Linked DNA regions of Sus scrofa. The protein of the gene in region 3 interacts with the protein of the main gene of each other region in a pairwise test. Links are inferred from orthologs where the notes say so. Each region holds a gene or a part of one and is shown on either strand. Other genes may lie near its edges.

Region 1 (4,477 bases), on a different chromosome or scaffold from region 3:
ATCTCTATTTTATTTATTTTCTTTCTGATCTTTGTTATTTCCTTCCTTCTGTTAACTGGGCTTTGGTTGTTGGTCTTCTTTTTCACATTCTTTTAGGTAATAGGTTGGGTTGTTCATTTGAGATTTTTCTTGTTTCTTGAGGAAGGCCTGTATCACTATGAACTTCCCTCCTAGGACTCCTTTTGCTGTATCCCATAGATTTTGTAAGGTTGTGTTTTCATTTTTGGGCTCTCTGTTCTGTTCTATTGACTGTATGCCTGTTCTTGTGCCAATATCATGCCTAGTGCCTGTCTCCTGGGAGGAAACTATTGGAGTCCTTCACCAGTGCTTCCTTTTGTTTTTTTAAACAGAAGAAAGAGTCCGTGAAGAAAACACAAGATGAAGAAATAAAACAAATAGATGAAGAGAGAACTAAGCAGATTTACAAGAACTGGAAGGAAGATTCGGAGTGGCAGGCCTCTTGTAAGTATCCAGAAGCCTCCATAACATCACATGCTAAGCCTGTCTGTGCACTTAATAAGATGAGCAATCTAAGAAGCACTTCAAGTGGTTGTTGAGAGATGTTTTAACACTAAATTATTACTCATAGGCTATGAGCCACTGCAGAAAGGTCTCAATTCATCTTTGGAGCATCAAAATGACAATTCATCTATGAGATGGAATGATATTCAGCTATGAAGAAACATTTTGGAAGAATGTTTAATGTCCTTAGGACATGTTTATATCTTTTTTAGCTTGGAGAAGAAAAATCATTTTAAAATAGTATGAAAATGTCCCCACTTAAAAATGTCCAAGTATATAAAGGAAAAGAAGTGGAAGGTGAACATGCTGACATTTGCCTTCTTAGAGAGGCAGGATCCGAGGTTGTTTTTCTGTCTTTTCCTCAACTTTCAACAGTGAACCCATCTTAACTCTGTAATCCAAACACAGGGATGACAGGCTGGGTGTGTCAGCATCCCTCCCAAGTCTGTGGTCCAGCCCTGACTCCTGAGTTAGTGCTGCCCAGAGATAGCCCCCCTGGGGAGAGGCCAGCGCAAAGGAAGACAGAACCGAGCATGCGTGAGGATGCTGGGAGGATGAATTAGGGTTTCCATCCGACTTGGACACGGGAGCCGTAACTGCCCAGCCGTCCCTGTAGGCAGCTGGAGGAGGAGAACAGGCAGCCATGTTCGCAGATTGTTGGGAATTCCACTACATTGAAAACCATTAAAATGGCACTTTTTGTGAAATGAAAATGTTGACAAGATCCAATCACTTCTGTGCAGTGAAATCCTAGTGTAACAGAACAATAGGGGGACATTTCTTTGAAGTCATACGTAACAGGTTCTGACCAATAATTGGCCTGATGCGCAAATGCACTCAGTAAAACTTATTTTTAGGAGTTCCTGTTGTGTCTCAGTGGTAATGAACCCAACTAGTATCCATGAGGATCTGGGTTTGATCCCTGGCCTTGCTCAGTGGTTAAGGATCTGGCATTGCCATAAACTTCGGTTTTGGTCACAGACATGATTCAGATCTGGCATTGCTGTGGCTGTGGCATTGGCCAGCAGCTGTGGCTCTGATTCGGCCGCTGGCCTGGGAACCTCCATATGCTGCAGGTGTGGCCCTAAAAAGACAAAGAAAAATATTCTTAAATCCCCACATTAGTGTCCTTCTTTGTTTGGCTGCTGAAACAAAACCAGCAAAACAAACAGCCCTCTATTTTACAAAGTAACCATAAAAGGCAGACTTGGGACATGTTTATGTACCTGCAGAGGCTGGGTCTGCCTAAGAATCTTTTTTTTTTTTTTTTTTGGCTGTGTCTGAGGCAAGTGGAAGTTGACCAGGGATCAAACCTGCGCCATAAGAGCAGTCCGAGCTTCTGCAGTGACAGCACTGAGTTCTTAACCCGCTGAGCCACAAAGGAACTCTAAGAATTGTTATGTTTGGTCTGGGAGGCTCGGAGCCTCAACCAGTGGGCTCTGAGCGTGGCCTCACCGCCCTTCCAGCATCTCCACAGCCATGAGCCACTGAGGGGTTCCCAGTCTCTGCTAGTGACCCGGGGCACGAGTGTGGGGATGTAGCATTACTGCTTATTATTCCAAGAGCCCCCTGGCTGGACGCTCACACAGGCTGGGTCTCATCCACAGTCTTGGCCACTGCAGGGAATTCTCGAGCACGTGGTTCTCCTGTCCTCTTGCATCCCTTCCTCCTCCTCTTTCTCTTCCTCTCAGAAGGCCACAAGCTCCCATAGAAAGAGAGGAATCTGCCCTGGACCCCACACCCCCCCAGAGTGACAGACATCAACAGTGCTTGTTGGTTGTCACCAGAGGAGTCAGTGAGCCCAGAGCCAGCGTCTGCGGTGCTGATTCCTCCAGACACCTCTGTGGGCTGAGGAGGGCTTTTCTCAAACCTTTCGCTGTTTTCCTAGTGCGAAAATCCAAAGCAGCTGATGAGAGGAGGCGCTCCCTGGCCAAACAGGCGAGGGAAGACTACAAGAGGCTGTCCCAAAGAGGGAGAGGCAGCGAGGGGCCGCAGAGCCCCCCAGGAGGCCCCCAGAAACCCAGGAGGCCCCCGCTTCCACCCAAGCCTCAGTTCCTGAGCCCAACCGGACACCCCCACAGACCCCTCAGGTAAGGAGCCACTTGGGCAGGTGGCTTTCAGCATCAGCAGTGAAGTGGCTGCATGGGGAGTGAGGACCAGCTGTCTGCTGGTGCCATTCAAACCAGCCCCACCACGGAGGCACCTGGTCAGGCCTTCATCCCTTTTCGTCTGTACAACACCCCACTGTCACTGCCCTTCACATAGACAATAACTTTCTGAAGATGCCCAGTGAGGTCAATGAATTCCTTGCCTCCAGCTTGGCCCAACCCCAGAGGGTGGCAGCCAGCAATGGGAGGGAGTCGTGACAGGAGGACCCAGGGCTTGCTGGCTGTCATGTCATCAGCAGAGCTACCTTTCCATGGCTCAGGATTAAAGCTTTGATGGTAATTCTCATTCTGCGCTACAGAGCCAAGCTCATGGGTTGAGAATTTAGAAGTATTCTTCCCTTTTTTTTCCTTTTCCTGGCTTTTCAAAATTAACTTTTTTTTTTTTCTTTTTTTAAGGTCTCATCTGCAGCATATGAAAGTTTCCAGATTTCCAGATGAGGGGTAGAATCAGAGCTACAGCTACCAGCCTGCACGACAACCACAGCAACACCAGATCTGAGCCGTGTCTGTGACCTACACCACAGCTCACGACAACGCTGGATCCTTAACCCACTCATTGAGGCCAGGGATCGAACCTGTGTCCTCATGGATACCAGTCGGGTTCGTTATCACTGAGCCATGATGGGAACTCCAGCCAATTAACTTTTTATTTATTTTTTTTATGTCTTATTTTTTGTGATAATAATTTTCTTTCTTGGAAATGTTCTTGTTTTGAATCAACGTGTCATTTGGTGACGACGGTACTTTTGCCTCCTAGGCCGTGTGGGAATCAGTCAGAACAATTGGTTTTGGAAAATCCCTGAGGAAATATACAGTGATATCACAGCACAAAGCCCCAGCCCTATGATGACTGATTATGATTTTCTCCTTGATATTATGTGATTTTTTTTTTCATATTCTGGTATATAGAAAGATGATATTTAAAATAACCAGGAGAGGAGTTCCCTTCATGGTGCAGTGGAAACGAATCCAACTAGGAACCATGAGGTTGTGGGTTCGATCCCTGGCCTCGCTCAGTGGGTTCAGGATCTGGTGTTGCCGTGAGCTGTGGTGTAGGTCGCAGATGCAGCTCGGATCTGGCATTGCTGTGGCTGTGGTGTAGGCCGGCAGCTGTAACTCCGATTAGACCCCTAGCCTGGGAACCTCCATGTGCCACGGGTGCGGCCCTAAAAAGTAAAATAAAATACAATAAAAATAAAATTACCAGGAGAAATCAAATATTGATTCAATGAAACACAACTAAATCGTTGTCTTTTTTTTTTTTTTTTTTTTTTTTTTGTCTTTTTAGGGCAGCACCTGAGGCATATGGAAGTTCCTAGGCTAGGGGTTGAATCGGAGCTGTAGCTACTGGCCTACACCACAGCCATAGCAACTCGGGATCCAAGCTGTGTCTGTGACCTACACCACAGCTCACAGCAACACTGGATCCTTAATCCACCAAGCAAGGGCAGAGATCGAACCTGCATCCTCATGGATACCAGTCGGGTTTGTTACTGCTGAGTCACAACAGGAACTCCCCTAAAGCCTTGTCTTCTGAAATAAAACCTAAAAATCTTTCTCTGTTCAGAGTATGGAAAAACAAAAGCAAAGATCTCCCTTTGCTGGGGTCAGTAGTTATCTTCAGAGTGTTTTCCTAACAGTGATTATGACCTCAGAGGAAGGCGGGGGTGGGCCCTTTCCTCTGCTGTGATTATTTCCACTTAACTCATCTGAAAGGTTCCATTTGGGGACTTGGGGACCAGCACTAAATGACCACGTTCTAAAGAGTGGCCGTTTGGGGGGTGATT
Region 2 (4,777 bases), on a different chromosome or scaffold from region 3:
TACACGTACACACATCATTTTGTATTCTCCTTACAACAGCCTGTAAGGTGAGCGCTATTATCCCCATTCTACAGATGAGGCTGGACCACGAGTGAGGGCAGACGCAAGAGGACTTGCATCCAGGTCTGTCTGATTCCAAAGTCCACACACTTTGCTGCATCTCACCTCCTCTCAGCATAATGGACACACAGCCATGGCTTTATCCTAAGTAAAAATGTCACAGGAGCCAATGCCTGTGCCAGCAGAGGATCTTCTCGGGATATGGCTTGTCCCACACTTTGCCTTCTCTGAGAACCACCGGATGGGACAAGCACTGAGAAATGGCCCAGGGGAGGCACTGTCCCAGGGTCAGAACCAGGTGGTGGGTGGGGGGCGGGGAGAGCAATCAAATACAGGCCTCAGCAATCTGCCGGTGACATGCGTCACTTTGTACATATACAGAAAAGCACAGGGCGGGAGTGGGGTACAAGGGGAGATAACTCTTTCCCACCAAATTATGAGCTCAGGATTAAGGCAAAGAAGTGACACCAAAGGCACCTGAGCAGAGGAACAAGATGCCCAGCCCACCAGCTCTGGGGCACAGGTGCCTCGACTGTCTGTACATACAGCCTGTTGGGGCTGCACAGGGTTCAGGTCCTTGCATTTCCCTCACCTCCCACTCACTGTTGGTCTGCTCTTCCTCAGCTGGCTCCGGTGCCCCACTCTTCCCCCCAGCCACACTGTCCAAGGTCACCTCCTAAGGGGCAAATCCCCACCCTTCCTCCTGTTGGTCTCCATTCTCCTCAGTCTCTGGATGGACTTAAACTCTGCTGATCTTGGGTCTTTATTGTCTGTCTTCCCTGGGCTGCAAGGTGAACCCAGGCTCTTTCTCCAGCAAAAAACGCAGTGGGTAGGCAGGCTGGGGGCAGACAGACCGGGTTTGCTACTCCCTAGTTTTGTGACTTTAGATAAAGTCATTGCATCACTATGTGCCTCAGTCTCCTCATCTGTACAATGGGGATAAAAGGTTCCTACTCTACTCTTTTCCCAAGGATGTTGTGAAGGTAAGATGAGAAAACCTAAGCACTGGCCCGCCTTCCAAAGCTAGAAAATACACAACAAAGATGGTGCTATTTTCATTGTGAATCACACCAACCTTGTGGAGAAGCAAAAACTTGCAGCAGCCAGTGAATATATGCCCTATTCCCTTCTCTATTCTAGTATGAAAGAAATAATGCCCTCACACCAATATGAGCCTGGCAGAAACCATGACTGCTCCCGGGGAGCAGAGCCAAGGATCCAGATCTCTGAAAACAGTGTCATAAAATGTGAGCTTTCAGGAGAATAAGGGTTTGGCTTGCTAAAATTTCTGCTGTTTTTCTGTAAGGTTGATGATCCTATCAGACTCAGTGATAAAAAAATGTGATGCAACAAATTGGGAACGGCAGGGACCGAGCTTATCTCTTCATTTCATTCTGGACATGCACGAAAAGAGTTCTTTTCACATCTCTTTTGCTCTGTACCCCCCACTCCCATTCCTTCTTAAACAATGTTATTATTTAAAGATAGCCATGCACTGTTCTTTCTCTCCCCTGAATCTAAACCTCCTTAGAACTTTTACACTCATTCTTTTCCAATCTCTCTCATCACAAGCAACCCCATTCAACAGTCGATTAAAAAATAATGAAAAATAAATGTGAAGAAAAGTTTACGCACTTGTTTTACCTGTATGAGTCCTGGTGTGGGTCTTCAGGTGGTCGGACCGGGAGAACTTTCGCTGACAAGTTTTACACTGGAATGGTTTCACACCTAAACGGACAGAGAAGGTCTAGCCGCGGCCCTAACCGTGGGGAGCACAGCGAGGCCCACAAGACCTGCTTCCTGGAGGCCCCAGGAGCTGGGCATTTCCAGCCACGCCTGCAACGTCTGCCTCGCCCTCAGATTTCCCCAGTCCCCCAGGCCCGGCAGGAACCACCTGATTCTGCACAGTAATCCTTGAAGACCTGTAGTCTTGGGAACAATGATTGCTTAACCACAAATGTCCAGCTTCTCACCGAGGTCTCAGCTGTGTCTGAGACTGAAAAAGTGAATCACACGCTACAAATGGGCTTTTGCATTCCTCCGCCCGGGTTCTTTACTGACACTCAGTGTATGACCAGCAAATTATCACGGTTCTGCGGTTTGCAGCAAAAATGTGGAATGTTTCCTTTTCTTTCCTTTCTTCTTCTTTTTCTTAAGAGAAAGTCATCCCAGAGATTGGGGTGGGGGGAATTATTGCAGAAACTAAACAAATGGCTGACCCTCTCCCTTCCATATTGAACAAGCAAGAGAATCACAGATCAACCATGACCCAAGGCAGCACTCTGCCAGCAACGAGAAGCGAGCCTACAAACCTGTGTGTCTCCTTTGGTGTCTTTTGAGCTGGTCTGAACGAGAAAACCTTCGCTCACAGTCCTTGAAGTCACACTGGTATGGTTTCTCACCTTGGGGAAGACACATATGCCATTGGAAAATGATACTGAAAATGAGGATCTCATTAGAGGCAACTTCTCTTACTGAGACTGAAGGGATCTCCCAAATGCTAACGGCACTTTGCTGGAGGTTTTTAGGGATGTGCTGCCAAGTGCAGTGTGAGGTGAAAGACCTACTGGTATATACACTCACAGACAGTTGGTGTGGAACAGAGGGCTAGGTGAATAAGGACGGTCCCTTACCGCCGAGTTGGAAGTGAAGGGAACTCAGGTTCTGGAGTCTGACACTGGGGTCACATCCAGCTCTTTGCACTCACAGGGCTGAACGAGGTGCCATCTCCTTACTATGAAATGGGGCCCATAATCCAACAACTTCCGAGGATTTATAAACAGATTACAACAGACCATCCACATAAAGGGTTTAGCCCCGTGCCTCGCTCAAAAAAATACTGGCAGAAATATTTCAACAATTATAAACTAAAGGAGTCTTGACTCTTAGGCTGAGTCCAAGGCAGAATTCCCGGATGGATGTGCCCTGGAGCTGGCCCTGTGAAGTAAGCGATTTGTGTCTCATGGCTTGAAGATTTGGTGTTCCCTGCTACTGACTTCCCATTCCTGAGTCAGGCAGAAATGGTGCCATGGTTGTGAGATGCTCGAGTTAACCCAGGAGCCAGAGCCTGTTGAGTGTCCGGTATCCCTTCTCCTGAGAGAAGTGGAGCCGGATTACACAACCTCCTGCCTCAGAAGGGAGAAGCCCCGCCCCCGTCCCTGCTGGAGAAAGTTCAGCCAAAGCCTGGGAACTGCGCCCCATGAGTGCACTGGGCGCCCCTGGCCCCTCCCACCCCCTTATGAGAATTCTGAGTCACCGGCATCTGGGATGGAGAGCGAGCCATCCCAGGACCGGCCGGCGCTTTCCGCTGCCAGGCAGCTCCTGGTTACCCTTCCATGCATGACCTCCTCTGCTTCCCTGATTAATCTGAATTCCTGCTATATGGCGCTCACCATTCCCGCCATCGGCCTCGAACTCTGCTCCCACTAAACATCCTTCATCTCTGGCTCTGGGTTCCTACCTGTCAAAAAGCCTGCTCAGGTCCCTCACAAATGCAGCTTCCTCTGTGATGCCTTCCTGGAAACCTCATGTTCGAACTGAACGCCCCCTCTTCCCTCATCACTGACTTTCTTACAGAACCTCTAACGTGGGGCTGTGTCCAGGTCTACCTTGTGCCTTGGGCTGGAAAATTCTGAGGGCAGACACCTTTCCTTAACTCTCTCTATATATCCGGCTCAGTGCCTTACACTGCGCCTCTGCAACCTGGAGAAAAGCAATGCTCCTGTTCAGCAGTCTCATGTCTTTTCCCGCCTTTCTGCTTCTGCTCACCCTTTACTACCTCTGCCTGCTCCTGCTAACATTTTGATGGTTAACTTGGGCCCTTCCTCTCCCAAGAAATGAATGACACTCATGCAAAACAGTATCCTCTGAACGGCTCTTCTCAGCTCCTCCAGAGCCACTACAGTATCGCACGCTCTCTCCGTCCCTCTTCATGTGGCTATGTCTTGGCTCCAAAACAGACCATAGACTCTTTGAGAAAGGGGCTTGTGACGTGGCGTTAAAAGGCATGAGCTTGAGTCCTGCTTCCTTACATCCTATCCATCTGATGACTTTTGCGAATGAGGATTAAATGAAATAATGTGTGTAGAGAATTTGGCACCTGAAAGGTATTTTTTTTTTTTTTTGTCTTTTGTCTTTTAAGGGCCACACCCACAGCACATGGAGGTTCCCAGGCTAGGGGTCTAATTGGAGCTGTAGCCACCAGCCTACGCCAGAGCCACAGCAACATGGGATCCAAGCCATGTCTGCGACCTACACCACAGTTCACGACAATGCCAGGTCCTTAACCCACTGAGCAAGGCCAGGGATCGAACCCGCAACCTCATAGTTCCCAGTCAGATTCATTTCCACTGCGCCATGTTAGAACTCCCATAAAAGGTATTTAATATCAAAGTACTTAGTAAAATAGTCTGTACTATTATTATAAATTAATTCAAAAAGGAGTTCCCGTCGTGGCGCAGTGGTTAACGAATCCGACTAGGAACCATGAGGTTGCGGGTTCGGTCCCTGCCCTTGCTCAGTGGGTTAACGATCCGGCGTTGCCGTGAGCTGTGGTGTAGGTTGCAGACGCGGCTCGGATCCCGCGTTGCTGTGGCTCTGGCGTAGGCCGGTGGCTACAGCTCCGATTCAACCCCTAGCCTGGGAACCTCCATATGCCGCGGGAGCGGCCCAAGAAATAGCAACAACAACAACAAAAAAGACAAAAAAAAAAAAAATT
Region 3 (5,310 bases):
CACGCCTAAGGATCAAGAGAAAAATGATATCTAACCTCTGCTCAGTCAAACCTCATCTTTAAGGTCCTGAAAGTGAAAAAAAGTGTTAATCAGAATTCTAATACCTTGCAAAATAGCCTTCAAAACTTGAAAGGAAAGCAAAAATATTTTTAGATAAACAACACTGATTAAAAATGTCTGAAGATTTATACTGTGAAAAACACTAAAGAATAGTCTTTTTCTTTAAAAGAATAATTATATCAAATGAAATCTCAGACCTACAGGAAGCATAAAAGAATCCTGGAGATGGTCAATTTAGCAGAACTGCAGAGACTGTATTGCCAAGTAACATATACTTTCTCCTGGATAATCAGCCCATGAAAAATACGCTGAAGATTTGAAAAGTCACTTCACAAAAGAAGATATCCAAATGGCCAATAAATACATGAAAAGTTGCTCGACATCATTAGTCAAAAGAATGTAAATTAAACTGTAACACTTAAACGTGACCCAAAAAATCATTTTAATTATAAATGTCTGACAATACCACATGTTGGTGAAGATACGGAGGAACTAAATCTCTCAAATGTTATTGTCAAGAATGTAAAATGGTATAATTATATTGGGGGAAAATCTAGTAACATCCTTTTTGTAAAATTGTTTGGCTGTGTCCACATTATGCAGAAGTTCCTGGGCCAGGAATTGAACCCATGCCACAGTAGTGACCTGAGCCTCAGCAGTGACAATGCCAGATCCTTAACCCCTGGAACCTATGGGTGGACAATCAAGACGTGGATTATTTTTTCAAAGAAACTTTTCCTTTGACTCTAGGTCACTGTGGGATCATAACTTTCCTGTGGATATTTATAACTTTCAAGTATGTTTTTGAAACTTTGAACTCATGTCCTTTGCAGAACTGCATCTTATACCATTGGCACACTAAGAATTTTAAGCACAAGTGTTGAAATATTAAGAGAACTACTAAAATCAAACCCAACTCTGCTCAGAGTTCCCACTGTGGCTCAGTGGTAATGAACCTGACTAGTCTCTGTGAGAATTTGGGTTCCATCTCTTGCCTCACTCAATGGGTTAAGTATCTGGCATTGCTGTGAGCTATGGTGCAGGTCGCACAGTCAGCTCGGATCCCACTTTGCTATGGCCGTGGCATAGACTGGCAGCTCTAGCTCTGATTCAACCCCTAGCCTGGGAACTTCCCTATGCCATCAGTGCGGCCCTAAAAAGAAAAAACCCAACTCTGCTCAATGAATAATAAGTCATAAGAGACTATTTTAATGCATTTATTTAAGATTTCTAGGTTTGGCTTTGGTTATTTGTTTATTTTTGCTATCAGCTACCTAAGGAAGTAGTGCTCAGAATTAGAAAAAAACTGTTTATTCTAAATCAAGAAAATATTAATGTTGTCAGAATAATTGTTTTTTTCCCATAAAGATTTTAAAGATTCTGCAGACAAATTATTCTGTACATTTTTAAGGAAATAAATATCACAATTAAAGCCAAGAAAAGTGAAAAGTGAAGATAAAATTTAAGAGAGAATCCTGAAAACTTACATCTCAAATACCTATCCATTTGGTACCACAAGAGATTTCATCCAATGGAACTGCTGGAACTCATAGAATTTTATTCATAAGTTCCAGTATCTTTAATTTTCATGCTCTTGGGAGCTTCAAGATTAAATAAATTAGTAAAAAAGAGAAAAGAGGCTCCATATCCCAGAAGAAAAGCCTGTTTCTTCCTTGCCCCTACTCTGAAATGTAATTTAATTAATGAGGGTTTAGTTTCCCAAGAAACTAAAAGATTATAAGAGAGTTTGTATTTCATTTCTATTAGAGATGCAGTTTAAAAAAAAAAAAAAAAAAAACCACCGTATCCCTGATAGGAAAACGAGGCATTAGAAATGTGGAGACGGCAATTTTCAGGAAATCAAAGATGACAACTTCAGGAGTTCCTGTCGTGGCGCAGTGGAAATAATCCAACTAGGAGCCATGAGGTTTCGGGTTTGATCCCTGGCCTCAGTCAATGGGTTAAGGATCCAGTGTTGCTGTGAGCTGTGGTGCAGGTCACAGATGTGCCTTGGATCTGGCTTGTCTGAGGCTGTGGCGTAGGCCAGCAGCTACAGCTCCAACGGGACCCCTAGCCTGGGAACCTCCCCATGCCATAGGTGTGGCCCTAAAAAAGAAAAAAAAAAAATCAAATGATCACAACCCCATAACTTGATAACCAATTTATATTTTCGGACTGGAGGGCAAAAATTAAGCCCATCCATTATGTAAAGTGACTTGTCAATTTGCACCCAAGTAGGTATGGTTCACATACACACTTTAAACCCAGTACACACCTCACTCCTTTACCATGTGAGCACGGCGAGACCACAGAAAGCATTGCAAGGACTGCAAACCACACAGGACACTTTTATGGTGGTGACACAAACAAACAAGGGGCGCTTAAATGAGTGATATCACTTATAAGTGGAATCTTAAAAAAGATGCAAATGAACATATTTGCAGAACAGAAACAGACTCACAGACTTTGAAAACAAACTTGTGGGTACCAAAGGGGATAAGTGGGGGCAGGGAGGGATGGACCAGGAGGTTGGGATGGGCAGATGCACCCTGAGGTATATGGAATGACTGGCCATCGGACACCTGCCATATAGCATAGCGAACTCTACCCGGTATTCTGTAATAATCCATGCGGGGAAAGAACCTGTAAGAGAATGGATGTGGGCACGTGTATAACTGAACCGCTTTGTTGTCCAGCAGAAATTATCACAACCTTGTAAGTCAACTCTACCTCAATAAAACCTTAAAAAAATGAAAAAATGACTTGTAATATTAATTTTAAAAGAAGACATAAACCATTTTCAAGGCACAGGCTCAAAATCTGTGGGAATATTATTTTCCTTATGCCCAATCAATTGTATCTATAATTACTGATTGGCCAAATTTTCCCTTTTCTTTCCTTATTTGGTCAAAAGGAAAGTATTTCCTATGAAGATTTTCTGAAAAAAAGCATTTTTATCCTCCCGGCACATGGCAACAGTGTCCTTATTTAGCAACTTGAAGTTATGCCTGTTTTATGAGGCATAAAACTCTTCTTCAGCAAATAAACAACACTAATGAGTGTTCATATGAAAACTGGCACCGGAAAACATCCGGTGCTTTGCGTGCTTTGCGTAAATACCCATTTGGGGGCTGATATAAAAGTCTCCGGAGAGAAGGAGACTTTTGGAGGCAGGCAGCTGGAGTTTTGCAACTAGTCTCTGCCCTTCTCGTCTGATAGGATGGCTTCTGACTGTTCCCCCTCCTGCTGCTCTTCTGCGTCGAGGGCCGGGGCTTCTGATGGCGCGATTGCTTCAACCGGTCCCGTGGACGCCACGTGTCTCCCCAGCGCCTGTGCCACCTCCAGATGCCACACTCCCAGGTCCTGTGCATCAGCTGGTTGCCTCAGGCCGCGCTGCTTGGCCGGGAGCTGCCACGCTCCGTGCCTGGTGGGGAACTGTGTCTGGGGTGAGGATGGCGCGTTCAACAGCAACGAGAAGGAGACGATGCAGTTCCTGAACGACAGACTCGCCAACTATCTGGAGAAGGTGCGCGGGCTGGAGGAGCTGAATGCGGAGCTGGAATGCAGGATCCGGGAACAGTGTGAAGAGGACGCCCCGTCGGTGTGCCCTGATTATCAGAGTTACTTCGACACCATTGAAGAGCTCCAACAAAAGGTCTCGTATTTCATCGCCCTGAAGTCCCACCTTCCCAGTCTGTGACTTGCTTTATTTTTGTTCTGCTAGAGGCTGTTCTGTGGCAGGATACCAGGGAAAGGGGAGGGACTTCTCAGAGGTAATGCGATGCAGAGGAAAGTCAGGAGGCCTCAGCACCAGCCCCTAGGCTGCCGCTAATTACTAAGTGATCATGATAAAATAATTGACCTCTAAATTTACCTTTATCAGCTAGGGAAGGAGGAACAACAGTGTTATATCGAGAAGGACTTCTGTGTGACACACTGTACGTGTACACATGTACGCGTTTTTTTTTCTTTTTTGTCCCGTCCCACCCCCGCACACGGAGTTCCTGGACTGGGGATCAGATCTGAGCTGCAGTTGTGACTTAACGCTGCAGGTGCAGAAAATGTGGGATCCTTATCCCACTGTGCTGGGCCAGGATCGAACTTTCGTTCTAGCAGTCCAGAGCCTCTGCTGAGCCCACTGAGCACAGCGGGAAATCCTGTATAGTATTTTTAACGCAGATATTGAAATGTCTTTTGGAAGGGGCATATCTGCAGCATGGAGAAGTTCCCGGGCCAGGGTTTGAACCCATGCCATGACAGTGACAATGCCAGATCCTTAACTGCTAGGCCACCAGGGAACTCCCAAAATGCCATCTTTTTAATCCTATAATTTCACCTAGTAATTATTTCCCTTTATTACTGATGAATTTTTTATTATCTTGGATGGTACTATAGTCGTAAAACAAACTACTTCTGGAGAAAAACCTAAGTGCCAAGGGATACTGCAAAATGTCTTAGGTTGGAGTTCCTGTTGTGGCTCATCAGGTTCACGTGACATGGTATCCATGAGGATGCAGGTTCAATCCCTTGCCTCACTCAGTGGGTCAAGGGTCTGGCATTGTCACAGCCTGGGTCACAGACGTGGCTTGGATCTACTCTTGAGGTGGCTGTGGTATTAGCCTAAAGATGCAGCTCCAGTTCGACCCCTGGCCCTGCCTTAGGTGTGACGGTTAAAAAAAAAAGTCTTGTGTCATTAAAAAACTAAACCTTTTTATTTCTCCATTTCATTTATAACTGGTGCTCCTTTTTTTCTTCACAAAGTGACACGGTTAATAAAAGCAGCCTGAAAGCTACTTTATATTTTCTTGTAAAACTTTAAAAGATAAGTGATGCCTTAGTGGTTAAACAAGTAGATACTTGGGTTTCTTTTCACAGAACCACTTATGACATAATATCTTGCTTCCCAGATCTTGTGTACGAAGGCAGAGAACTCAAGACTTGCTGTACAGCTTGACAACTGCAAACTGGCTGCCGATGACTTTAGGTCAAAGTAAGGTTAATTTGAATTGGAAAATAATTTACGGTTGCCTCTTTCTCTCCTTCTCTCACATAGCTCCACACACACCACTGGTATTCTCTACATAATATTTTTTAAGCCAGAAGTAATTGTGAAATTTCCTTCTGTTTTCATCTCTAAGCAAACCCTATAAAATATGTGCTATGAAAATGCTTCATTCTGTGTAAAGAAAACAGAAGAAAATTCCAACCCCCCTCCCCTCCAAAAATATATATATATAAAGCGAAGAATGC

The links.
Region 1: the proteins of KRT40 (region 3) and SH2 domain-containing protein 4A-like interact in binary tests that used the Homo sapiens proteins (3 or more experiments, as listed by UniProt). The two-hybrid records come from large-scale screens. The link is inferred for Sus scrofa from reciprocal best matches to the Homo sapiens genes KRT40 and SH2D4A.
Region 2: the proteins of KRT40 (region 3) and WT1 interact in binary tests that used the Homo sapiens proteins (3 or more experiments, as listed by UniProt). The two-hybrid records come from large-scale screens. The link is inferred for Sus scrofa from reciprocal best matches to the Homo sapiens genes KRT40 and WT1.

What each region holds. Positions count from the first base shown.
Region 1 is NW_018084867.1:17,911-22,387, reverse strand, and holds the end of SH2 domain-containing protein 4A-like, read left to right. Parts: intron 1-350; coding exon 351-462; intron 463-2,410; coding exon 2,411-2,616; 3' UTR 2,617-3,137; downstream 3,138-4,477. UniProt on the Homo sapiens protein: Inhibits estrogen-induced cell proliferation by competing with PLCG for binding to ESR1, blocking the effect of estrogen on PLCG and repressing estrogen-induced proliferation. May play a role in T-cell development and function.
Region 2 is NC_010444.4:28,449,030-28,453,806, reverse strand, and holds part of WT1 (Wilms tumor protein homolog), read right to left. Parts: intron 2,463-4,777; coding exon 2,373-2,462; exon of another isoform or gene 1,789-2,372; coding exon 1,696-1,788; intron 1-1,695. UniProt on the Homo sapiens protein: Transcription factor that plays an important role in cellular development and cell survival. Recognizes and binds to the DNA sequence 5'-GCG(T/G)GGGCG-3'. Regulates the expression of numerous target genes, including EPO.
Region 3 is NC_010454.4:21,478,618-21,483,927, forward strand, and holds the start of KRT40 (keratin, type I cytoskeletal 40), read left to right. Parts: upstream 1-2,107; 5' UTR 2,108-3,280; coding exon 3,281-3,715; intron 3,716-4,967; coding exon 4,968-5,050; intron 5,051-5,310. UniProt on the Homo sapiens protein: May play a role in late hair differentiation.